2 linked regions of the Saccharomyces cerevisiae S288C genome follow. The protein of the gene in region 1 interacts with the protein of each later gene in a biochemical or structural test. Each region holds a gene or a part of one and is shown on either strand. Other genes may lie near its edges.

What was found.
Region 2: the proteins of MIA40 (region 1) and ERV1 form a complex in vitro, tested with the Saccharomyces cerevisiae proteins (9 studies listed by BioGRID, with this or other methods).

Annotation. Positions count from the first base shown.
Region 1 is NC_001143.9:70,230-78,139, forward strand, and holds MIA40 (Mia40p), read left to right. Parts: upstream 1-5,591; coding exon 5,592-6,803; downstream 6,804-7,910. Other genes in the region: PEX1 (AAA family ATPase peroxin 1), read right to left, coding at 505-3,636; palmitoyltransferase YKT6, read right to left, coding at 4,703-5,305; threonine--tRNA ligase MST1, read right to left, coding at 7,029-7,910. UniProt on the Saccharomyces cerevisiae protein: Required for the import and folding of small cysteine-containing proteins (small Tim) in the mitochondrial intermembrane space (IMS). Forms a redox cycle with ERV1 that involves a disulfide relay system.
Region 2 is NC_001139.9:540,148-544,705, forward strand, and holds ERV1 (flavin-linked sulfhydryl oxidase), read left to right. Parts: upstream 1-3,405; coding exon 3,406-3,491; intron 3,492-3,574; coding exon 3,575-4,058; downstream 4,059-4,558. Other genes in the region: protein-degrading AAA family ATPase MSP1, read left to right, coding at 2,056-3,144. UniProt on the Saccharomyces cerevisiae protein: FAD-dependent sulfhydryl oxidase that catalyzes disulfide bond formation. Required for the import and folding of small cysteine-containing proteins in the mitochondrial intermembrane space (IMS).

The DNA of each region.
Region 1 (7,910 bases):
GTGCGATTTAATGCGTATGCTTGCCTGTGGCGTTAAAATGGTCTATACGTTTATGCTAATATTTCTTGATGTAATGCAGGGCCTATGAATACATGGAGGTTTGTTGCCGGTGGTATACGGTTGAAAAAAAAAAGAAATAGATATATATATATTTCTTCTTTGTATAGACTTCTGCGAGAAAAAGAAAAGATAAGGAAAAATGAAAAAAAAAGCGTATAGGTGCTAAGAAGAATTAAGTATCAAAAGGTAGCAGGCATTTATGTTATATATGCAACTTCGGATTTCGTTCAATACATCTTGACCGGTCTCCACTGTTACTGGCATATTTCTCGGGTTTTTCCTTTTCACCACAAGGGAAAAAAAATGCGTTATGTAATTTCACCAATATTTTTCCCGTCCTGCGTGCTCGCACAATACAATAGGGTCATGTCACGTAATAAGCAACGTGCGCCGCATTTTTTGCCCTTTAAAGGGAAACGCGCTTTGTTCTTTTCTTCTTCCTTTTCACATAAGGGAGAGTCGGCTACCAATGTCGATGGAATTCTCACCATTGGGCATCTCACCGTTCCTATCCTTCTGGAACCTATCGTAAATCCCCCTTAATTTGACCAACTCACTTGTTGAAATACTAGGTTTTGTCTCTTGACAGGCTTCCAATAAATCGTTTATTGTGACCACAGCTGTCAGCTCAGAAGCAGCTGAAGTGCTTGTCTTTGTCTCGTGCACCACATCTTGCTGCAATAGAGTCTTTAGCCGTAGTCTATTTTCTTCTCTACGCCCGTGCTCATTGATACTGAAGTATTCTATATTATCATTGCCGGGTACCACTTCCGATTGGTCTGCAGCAGACAGCCACCTATGTACAGATTTCAAATAAGCATTGTAGCAGAGCCCCTGTAAATCAGCACCCGAAAAACCAGCTGTCTTTTCAGCGATCAACTTCAAGTCTGCATTTTTCTCCAATGCAAATTTTTTTTGTCCCGTATCCTTGTCTTTTGAATTGACGATAGCTTGCAAGATATCTAACCTCTCTGATTCAGTCGGTATATTACAGATCACACTTTTGTCTAATCTTCCCGGTCTTAACAATGCGCTATCAATCAAATCAGGTCTACTTGTAGCTGCTAGTATATATACACCATCAAGGCCCTCGGCACCATCCATTTGGGTCAATAATTGATTGACTACACGGTCTGTGACACCAGTGGAGTCATGCCCTCTCTTTGGCGCAATAGAATCGAACTCGTCAAAAAATAGAATACAGGGTTTGACGGACTGTGCCCTTTCAAACAATTCTCTTATGTTTTGTTCGCTGGCACCTATAAACTTGTTTAAAATCTCTGGTCCCTTAACGGAGATAAAGTTTAACCCACATTGTTGTGCCACGGCGCTCGCCAGAAGCGTTTTACCACAACCAGGATAACCGTAAAGCAAGATTCCTGATCTCAATCTTAGGGGACAATTAACGAAAATAGGCTCATATTTTGTGGGCCACTCTAAGGTTTCTAGAAGGACATCTTTGGCATTTGCTAAAGCACCAATATCCCCCCATTTGATGTTCGTTTCTTTTGTTAGCTTTACTCCACGCAACGCAGATGGTGTAAACGCACTAAGCGACTTCGAAAAAAGTTCCCTTGTTACAACATTATCACAATCTCTTTCCAACTGCAAGTCGTAGAAAATCTTTTCTGTGAATATTTCCAAATCTAGTGGCGAAAATCCTTCTGTCTCCAACGACAAATCACTGAATTGCAAATCTCGATTTAGTTTCATGATCTGGTTTTTCGAGAAAAAATACTCCAGTAACTTCGCTCTTGCATGTTTGTCAGGTGCTCTCAAAGACCACGTCTCTGAAACAAAATGCTTATCAAACAATAGCGGATTAATTTGAGTTTTCTGCTTGCCTGAAAATAAAACTCTGATTCGTTTATTATCCTTGTTAAATATCTTTGTCACCTGATTGATGAAAAAATTCAAAAGTTTGCTTGCATTATCCCATTGGCCATTATTAGAAGGATCTCCGTCATTGGCTTGAGGTTTTCCAAATAGAGCCTCAACGTTATCCAACACAATCAAAGAAGGACCATACCAATAACAAAAAGAACACCATTCCATAATTAATTTTTGGGTTTTATCTAAATTTGATGTCTCGTGCAATGTTTCACAATCCGCATATTTAACGAAGATGTGATGATCTTTTTCCACTTCATTTATAAGCTCTTTTAATAACCTTGTTTTACCGATCCCTTGCTTACCATCTAATATAATAGCTGGTGTGGCAATAATAGGCGATGTCAAATAATTGACCATTTCTTTCTTGATACTATTTACCGTAATGAAATCATCTTCATCTTTACTAGTGCGCGAAACTTCGCCAGTTTCTTTGACGTGGTAATGTTTAGGCAAATGCCTTTCGATAATATCTTTAACTTCTTCTTTACCCATTTGGGTTACTTTCCATTGAACGGATTCATTGGAAATTTCATTCAAATTACACAACTGCTGCTCGGATTCACCTTTTTTTATTTCGATTATAATTTGCTCTGTTGGAAGTATTAAGTTATTGGTCAATAAGCTCCCGCCCAACAACTTAGAATACTGATCCCCACTCTTGGTAGGAACGTCCTTGCCAAAATATTTGATATTGACTGTTGCATTTCTTCCGGATATTATATTTGCTTGATTCATTTGTAGAAACTCTAGTTTGATTTTTGCTCCGTTCATTGGGTGCGTAAAGAATGCATCCCAAAGATGAGAGCTTAATGCAATGTGATTTTCGGGTATCTGACTATCACATTTTATAAAAACCCCAATCTTCTTCGAAGGGATACCAACTGATTTATTATCTGAATCGCTTTTCTTGGACTGCCTTAAGCTACATTTTACGATAGAAGCGTAGCCCTTCTGAGAAGGCAATTGTGCCCCGTCACTGATATATACGACAAAAAGGTTATCTTTAGGGAAGTCCATTTTGCACACAGTACTCCTCAATATTACCTTCTTTAAAAGTTGGATAGCCCCATTTTTTAGTATTGTCTTATTACTATGACCATACTCAGCCTTCACCAAACGTGTTTTATTGACTTTTGGTGCCACAACAACCAAGGAACCATCTGTGATCCTCGCAGACTTCATTGATGGCTCCACCCTGTCAATTTTGAACTTTGTAACAATTCCTTCCAAATAACAAATCAAAGTCTCACCTGGGGTAACTATACGGGTTTGGTGCAAAATCTCACCATTTTGGAACCTCATCGCATTGGCATCGATAATTTCCCAATCATCACTCGTTTCTGGCGTGACATACACCTCCGTAGCCAGGTGTGTGTGGTCATATCGCTGGATGTATAAGTCCACCAATGGAGACTTTTGATTTAAATCATATACTGTGGCCAAAACAGGATTGATAAGAACAACATTCTCACTCGATCCAGAATCATGGCCATCCCATCCAAGATGAACAATAGGTATATCTGAATTATGAGAATGGACTGCTATACCGAATTCCTGGATAGCGTAGTTGGTTGACTCTAACACGTTTATAATTGAATGCGGTAACCTTAAAAAGTTTCCTACTATGGCATTGGAGAATTGGATTCTCAGATTCTCAAACTTCAACCTCTTGGTCGTCGTCATTTGAAAGAGCAGTTCCTCAGGTGTTTCTTGTTACTGCCGTCCCTTCCAGAAGAAATTCGACGATGACAATAGTCGGAGAGATATTCCGGACCTTTATAATTGCGGCTACGCACAAGAATAAATCGCGATAGTAATCGGATATAAGACAATAAAGTCCAGCTAACTTGGTTGGAGAATTCGACAGATTACCATGAATATAGAAATCGATGTTTTTTTTTGTCCACGCCGATTGATCAGCCATTTTTTTTTATCAGGGTCGCAACTGCCCTGTGCAAATAAGAAAGCCTGAAATGGTTGCACAAAGACCACAAACAAGGGCATACGCCAGTACAGTATTATGGACTCATGCCATCGAGGTTACATAGAATTAGTTTAAACAAAAACCAACTATCCTCTAATATCCATGGTACGAGTATATATAATTGTATGAAGTGTAAGAATATGATATAAATAATGAGAGCACTCATAGAGAGTAACGGCGCTGAATTGTAAGAACTGTCACGTAGTAACACAATCACTGAAAGCATATAAAGTGAAATGAGAAACGGTAGTAATATCATATGCATTACCAATTCCTTTTAGTGAATTTCCATGTGCCCGAGGGGGGACTTCCAGTATATTCTGTTACATTTAAGTAAATACTTCATCAACAAATAGGGCCCAGCGGTTTCTTACACTAATTATACATTTACAACGTAAATGCTCCAGCTCAAGCATTATTTATATATCTTGTTTTCAAAAGAAAAATATAGCAATTAGACTCCATGGCCAAGTTGGTTAAGGCGTGCGACTGTTAATCGCAAGATCGTGAGTTCAACCCTCACTGGGGTCGCTTATTTTTAACTTTTTTACACTGAAGAAACAAATCAATTCTAATACAATGCCAATGGCTTCAAATCAACCTTTGGTTATAATAGTTAGGAGAATCGATGCTTACATAGTATATTATTTAAACAATTAATTTGATTTAAAAGATTTTTGTTTCCCTTGCTGCTGTCATTGGCTTTCTAAATTACATAAAGCAGATGAAAAGCCACACTATGCTGAAAATAGTGTGTGGATGCATCTACATGATGATGCAACACGAATTGGATTTTTTAGCTTGCTTATAAAACATTTTGGAACTTGCCGTTAATGACTCCGATTTGTCCACCAAATTATCCAACTTTTCACCTCTTTGTAAAACATTCTCAATCGTTTTGTGCAAAACGATTTTCGTCTCATCCAGTTCTTGTTGAACTTTCATGATAGCGTCAGCCTGTGAAGGATCTTGATATTTGCTAATGTAAGTGTCCAGTTGCTTCATTTTCAATGCATCATTGGTCTCAGTCACATCTGCCCACTCTTCCTTAGGATGTGCGACTAAATATTCATCCAATATTTTGTTTAATAGTGTGTATGCTGGTCTGACAGGATATTCTTTGTCGGTGATCAAAACACCACATATGCCCTCACTCCTGGCATAAACGTGGCCAATATAGTTGCCTTCTTCTATACTTTGTCTTTGTCCTGCACCAGTTCTAGAAGCGACCGTTTCAGCAAAAAAAGTCATAAACTGGCCAACACTAGACCTTTCAAAGAAACCAAATTGTGACAAGTCTTTAACTTCACTCAACTCTAGAGCCTTTTCTCCTCCAGAGCGAAATACACCGATGTAGTAGATTCTCATTGCCAAAATAACTTCTCTAGTGATACGTAAAGCTTCAGAAATGCCCTAGCCTGGTCTAACGCAGTCAAACTGTGCCAGAGACTTTTGTATATTGTTCATGTTGATATCTATTGTGCTTGCTCTTGATTTCACACCAAGCCAATCGTTCTGTACGGCACGCCACCCAATAAGAAAAAAAGGGAAAAGGAGCCGAATTTTGGTTTAAAAACATATAATGCTGAAATTGTGGAACACCAATTACCAACTGGAAGTAGGCTCGATCCAAAGAGTGTATATTATCAGTAAAATGCTTCGCAACTTAGTCGTCAGGAATGCGTGCAGAAACAGGCCGTCAATTCAAGTGGCAAGGGGGTTATGCCGACACCAAACAAGACGTCTCATGGCGTCCTCCCCTCAGTTCGGTAGGAACTCCAATCAGGAAAAAACAGCGGGCTTTATAATGGGGATTCTTTCTATGGCTGGTGCTTTATATTTTATTGCTCCTAATAGGAAGCCTCTTTTCGCCTCAAGGAAGGTAGAATCCGATAAAACCGCAGAGGAAGAGCTTTCCAGTGGTGGTGAGCAATCACCAGAAAATGAAGATGACAACAACAGCAAAAGCGATGAAAATGGAGATGACAACGACAGCAAAAACGATGAAACTGAAGCTGGCCCTCAATTAGGGGGTGATAAAATTGGTGCTTCAAAAGTAGCTGAAGATGGTGAATTGGTTGTTCTAGCAGAAGAAGACAACAAGTCTTCCGAAGATAAAGATACTGATGAATCAAAGGTATCAACCAAAGATGATGAGCAATCCAATGAAGACAATGCCACCGCTAACAATCAAAAGGATGAAAACATAAGTTCTGAGAACTCGGAAGAAAATACTAGTGACAAAACACTAGACAACAATGCTGGATCTTCTGAAAAAAAAGATCCAGAACATTCAGATGATGAAAAATCGCAACAGGGACAATCTGATGACAAGACAACTACTGAAGATAATAATGGAGAAGAAGAATCCTCAAAAAAAACTGTAAGTGACTCGGAAAATTCAGCTAAGCAATCTGAATCTAGCGATGAAGAGAAAGAAGAACTAAGAAAACAAGAGGAAAAGCAAATGGGTCCTACTGAAGAAGAGGTTCAACACGAAGGTGCTTATAACCCAGACACTGGTGAGATAAATTGGGACTGTCCTTGCTTGGGAGGTATGGCCCATGGACCCTGTGGTGAAGAGTTCAAATCTGCATTTTCTTGCTTCGTCTATTCTGAAGCTGAACCAAAAGGTATCGACTGTGTTGAAAAGTTTCAACATATGCAAGACTGTTTCAGAAAATACCCCGAGCATTATGCAGAACAACTAAAGGAAACATCTGATGATGAGGAACCTCAAGACAAAGTAAAGGTCAACACAATAGAATCAGCGCCAAATGTTTCAAGCGCAAAGGAAAATGCTGCGAAAAAAGCAGAGCAATCAGATGTGAAAAAAGAACCATTGAATGAGGAATCCAAACCTTAAAATCTCCTGAAAATCTCCCGAACGTAAAAAGTATAAAAGTATAAAGGATGATACATGTAAATACAGTAATATTATCTTAGTTTAATGACTACATATGGTATAATATGTGAAATATACATGAATTAATGCATCTGTGGGGCGGATGAGTCTAGTCTCTGTATGAATCCAGCTATACATCAAATCGTATCCTTTTATTTACAGGGCAAGTTTGTCATATATTTTAAGTTACTTGTAGTTTTTTTCCAGCTCAATAAATTTTTCCCAAATTTGAGACATTGTAAGTTTCTCGAAACTCTTTCTATTATCACGTTCTCGAATGTTGTATTTCTGTAACTGTACTTCCTCATCACCCACGATAATTAAATAGGAATAGTTTTTCAAAATGGCCGACTTGATCCTATACCCTACGGGTTCGTTTCTTATGTCGAGATCAACATTGAAATGCCAATCATTTAAAGGAACTGGTTCCATGTCGTCGGCTTCCAGTTCATTACGTAGTTTTTTCTGCAAGGCAGTGCACATGTCTAGCTGTTGCACATTTTTCGTATTGACGGGAATAATTACAGCTTGGTAAGGATTCAACCAAAACGGCCAACGGCCCTCATTAGAATCTATCAGTAAAGCCATAAATCTTTCGATAGAACCAAAAGTAGCTCTATGAATCATAATTGGCCTCTTGTACGAGTTGTCTTGATCCTTGAATTTCAAATCGAACCTCTCAGGTAGCTGAAAGTCCAACTGAATAGTAGCGACTTGATGAGTTTTGCGTAAATGGTCCGTAACCATTATATCCAACTTTGGACCATAGAACGCACCATCACCAGGGTTCAGTTTCCACGGTTTGCCTGATTCTTCCAAGATTTCCTTGAGTACTTGCTCAGCATGATTCCAAACTTTGAGGTCTCCAATGAAGTGATCCGGTCTTGTAGAAAAGTTTATAAAATAATTGCTCTCTGCTCCAGAACCTCCTTTAACAAAGGGGAAAATTTTGTTGTAAACTATGTCGATTAATTTTAAAGAGTTGAAAATTTCTGATTTCACTTGGGAAGGAGTGCAAAAGATATGACCATCGTCTTGATGGAACTTCCTTAGTCTAGTCAATCCCGA
Region 2 (4,558 bases), on another chromosome or scaffold:
CTCCACCACATTTAGGAATGAATGATAAGTTGATACGTTTGAAGAAATCACTTTATGGATTGAAACAAAGTGGAGCGAACTGGTACGAAACTATCAAATCATACCTGATACAACAATGTGGTATGGAAGAAGTTCGTGGATGGTCATGCGTATTTAAAAACAGTCAAGTGACAATTTGTTTATTCGTAGATGATATGGTATTGTTTAGCAAAAATCTAAATTCAAACAAAAGAATTATAGACAAGCTTAAGATGCAATACGACACCAAGATTATAAATCTAGGCGAAAGTGATGAGGAAATTCAATATGACATTCTTGGCTTGGAAATCAAATACCAAAGAGGTAAATACATGAAATTGGGTATGGAAAACTCATTAACTGAAAAAATACCCAAACTAAACGTACCTTTGAACCCAAAAGGAAGGAAACTTAGCGCTCCAGGTCAACCAGGTCTATATATAGACCAGCAAGAACTAGAGCTAGAAGAAGATGATTACAAAATGAAGGTACATGAAATGCAAAAGCTGATAGGTCTAGCATCATATGTTGGATATAAATTTAGATTTGACCTATTATACTACATCAACACACTTGCACAACATATACTATTTCCGTCCAAGCAAGTGTTAGATATGACATATGAATTGATACAGTTCATATGGAATACGAGAGATAAGCAATTAATATGGCACAAAAGCAAACCTGTTAAGCCAACAAATAAATTAGTTGTTATAAGCGATGCCTCGTATGGCAACCAACCGTATTATAAATCACAAATTGGCAACATATATTTACTTAATGGAAAGGTAATTGGAGGAAAGTCCACCAAGGCTTCATTAACATGTACTTCAACTACGGAAGCAGAAATACACGCGATAAGTGAATCTGTCCCATTATTAAATAATCTAAGTTACCTGATACAAGAACTTGACAAGAAACCAATTACCAAAGGATTACTAACCGACAGTAAATCTACAATCAGTATAATTATATCCAATAATGAAGAGAAATTTAGGAACAGATTTTTTGGTACTAAAGCAATGAGATTGAGAGATGAAGTATCAGGAAATCATCTGCACGTATGCTATATCGAAACCAAAAAGAATATTGCAGACGTAATGACCAAACCTCTTCCGATAAAAACATTCAAACTATTAACAAACAAATGGATTCATTAGATCTATTACATTATGGGTGGTATGTTGGAATAAAAATCCACTATCGTCTATCAACTAATAGTTATATTATCAATATATTATCATATACGGTGTTAAGATGATGACATAAGTTATGAGAAGCTGTCATCGAAGTTAGAGGAAGCTGAAACGCAAGGATTGATAATGTAATAGGATCAATGAATATAAACATATAAAACGGAATGAGGAATAATCGTAATATTAGTATGTAGAAATATAGATTCCATTTTGAGGATTCCTATATCCTCGAGGAGAACTTCTAGTATATTCTGTATACCTAATATTATAGCCTTTATCAACAATGGAATCCCAACAATTATCTCAACATTCACATATTTCTCATTCTCAATCTTCATGGTATCTTTTTTACACCGTATATGATAAAATACAAGTAATATAAATACCAGCCACTGGATGACATTGAAATTTTATTCTAATAAATGCATCAGCTCTTTAAAAACATTGCTATTTAGCTATTTGAAGCCAGAAATTTTCACAGATTACCATCCGATATAGTGTAACGGCTATCACATCACGCTTTCACCGTGGAGACCGGGGTTCGACTCCCCGTATCGGAGTGTTCTTTTTCTTACCTCTTGAAAAAGAGGTAGTAAAGTCAATATAAATTCTTGGCTGAAGTATTTCAATACAATTGGTCAAGGAAGTTATTATTTTTTTAATGACTTATATCTGTCCAACACAACAGGTTACACCATATAATCTCTATTTACTGGACAGGCGGAAATCGATAGTTTAGCTTTCCTAAAAATCGTTATATTATAGAAGCGTCTTGACACGTTTTCAAAAAAGGAAGAAGCAAGAACGAAAAGAGATAAGGATTCAAAAGAAAGGAAGCCCAATGTCTCGCAAATTTGATTTAAAAACGATTACTGATCTTTCCGTCCTAGTTGGGACTGGCATATCATTATACTACCTGGTCAGTCGGCTACTCAACGATGTTGAATCAGGACCGTTATCAGGTAAATCAAGGGAATCAAAGGCCAAACAGTCCTTGCAATGGGAAAAGCTGGTGAAAAGATCACCGGCATTGGCAGAAGTAACATTAGATGCATATGAAAGGACTATATTATCTTCTATCGTTACGCCAGATGAAATAAATATTACATTCCAGGATATTGGTGGCTTAGACCCGCTTATTTCAGATCTACATGAAAGTGTCATATATCCCTTGATGATGCCAGAAGTATATTCTAATAGCCCTTTACTTCAAGCACCTAGCGGTGTCTTGCTATATGGGCCACCAGGATGTGGTAAAACCATGTTGGCGAAGGCCCTAGCCAAGGAAAGTGGTGCTAATTTTATCTCAATAAGAATGTCATCTATAATGGATAAATGGTATGGTGAATCTAACAAAATAGTCGATGCAATGTTTTCATTGGCGAACAAGTTACAACCTTGTATAATATTCATTGACGAAATTGATTCATTCCTTAGAGAACGGTCTTCTACAGATCATGAAGTTACGGCAACCTTAAAAGCTGAATTCATGACTTTATGGGATGGCTTATTGAATAATGGAAGGGTTATGATTATCGGTGCTACTAATCGGATAAATGACATAGATGATGCGTTTTTGAGGAGGTTACCAAAAAGGTTTCTTGTTTCATTGCCTGGTTCTGATCAACGTTACAAAATATTAAGTGTTTTATTAAAAGACACTAAACTAGACGAAGACGAATTCGACTTGCAACTGATTGCAGACAATACCAAAGGATTTTCTGGGTCGGACCTGAAAGAGCTTTGCAGAGAAGCGGCCTTAGATGCAGCAAAGGAATACATAAAACAGAAGAGGCAGCTCATTGATAGTGGTACAATCGATGTTAATGATACTTCTTCCTTGAAGATAAGACCATTAAAGACAAAAGATTTTACAAAAAAATTAAGAATGGATGCTACAAGTACGTTGTCATCTCAACCTCTTGATTAAGGAAGGAAAATTAGAAAAAAAAGAAGAAAGCTTTTTATTCACGCATCATATCATATCAGATAAGCTAGTTTTCACATAATATGTGTATATGCAGTATACTCCTGTACATAACTTCCTTTATTTCTGCTTTATAATTATATACTAGTTATTTTTCTTGGGCCGCTTTTATTACGGCAACTATTCTATCAGGTTTAGTCATAATCTAAATCTAAAGATGGGGAAAAGCCAAAAACACTCAACTTTCAATGAATACAAAGCTTCATGAAAGCAATAGATAAAATGACGGATAATCCACCACAAGAAGGCTTAAGTGGGAGGAAAATAATATATGACGAAGATGGCAAACCGTATGTTGGATTACGCAAAGCAATTCAGGATCTACTGATCCAATCAAGCTTGTGATTTTTTATTAACAAATTCTCTATAATAGTTGCCGATCATGTAACACCCTACTTGACTTTCAGTACGTGACCGGGAAGATATCTAATGGCCTGAAGAACCTCTCATCTAACGGTAAACTAGCAGGTACGGGGGCTCTCACTGGCGAAGCTTCAGAGTTGATGCCTGGCTCAAGAACATACAGGAAGGTTGACCCTCCTGACGTAGAGCAACTAGGTAGATCTTCATGGACGCTGTTACACTCTGTAGCTGCCAGCTATCCTGCTCAACCTACAGACCAACAGAAGGGTGAAATGAAACAGTTCTTGAATATCTTCTCACATATTTATCCTTGCAACTGGTGTGCTAAAGACTTTGAAAAATATATCAGAGAAAATGCACCACAAGTTGAGTCAAGAGAAGAACTTGGGAGGTGGATGTGTGAAGCCCACAATAAAGTCAATAAGAAATTGAGGAAGCCCAAATTTGACTGTAATTTCTGGGAAAAAAGATGGAAGGACGGCTGGGACGAATAAGTACAATCTCAGAATTCTGAAGGAACACATAAAAGACAATTTATACATATTTACAGATTCTCGTGTATATAACACTCCAATCGTATTGATCAGTCATATGTTGGCTTTTTTATTTAGGCTTGAGCTCTAACTTTCCAGATGAATGACTTTTCTACTAATATATGTTAGGATTAATAGTTTTATATGTATAAAAATATTTAGTCAGTATTTAGCTAAAAAGTTTACTTTCAAAGAATTGTCATGTTTGCAGCTAGTGCCTCTGGTCTTTTGAGTATTCCCAGCCCTTGTTTAGAGGTCATCAAGAATGAACTTGAAATTAGCCGTATCAGTGGTATTAACCTCTTCTAAGAAGAGCAGAAAAAGAAAAAAATCTCCGCGACGGGGAATTGAACCCCGATCTGGCACGCGACAAGCGCCCATTCTGACCATTAAACTATCACGGAAGAAATATCTGTGAAATGTGACTCTTATAGCATACTATTTTAGTTATGAATTGTGAA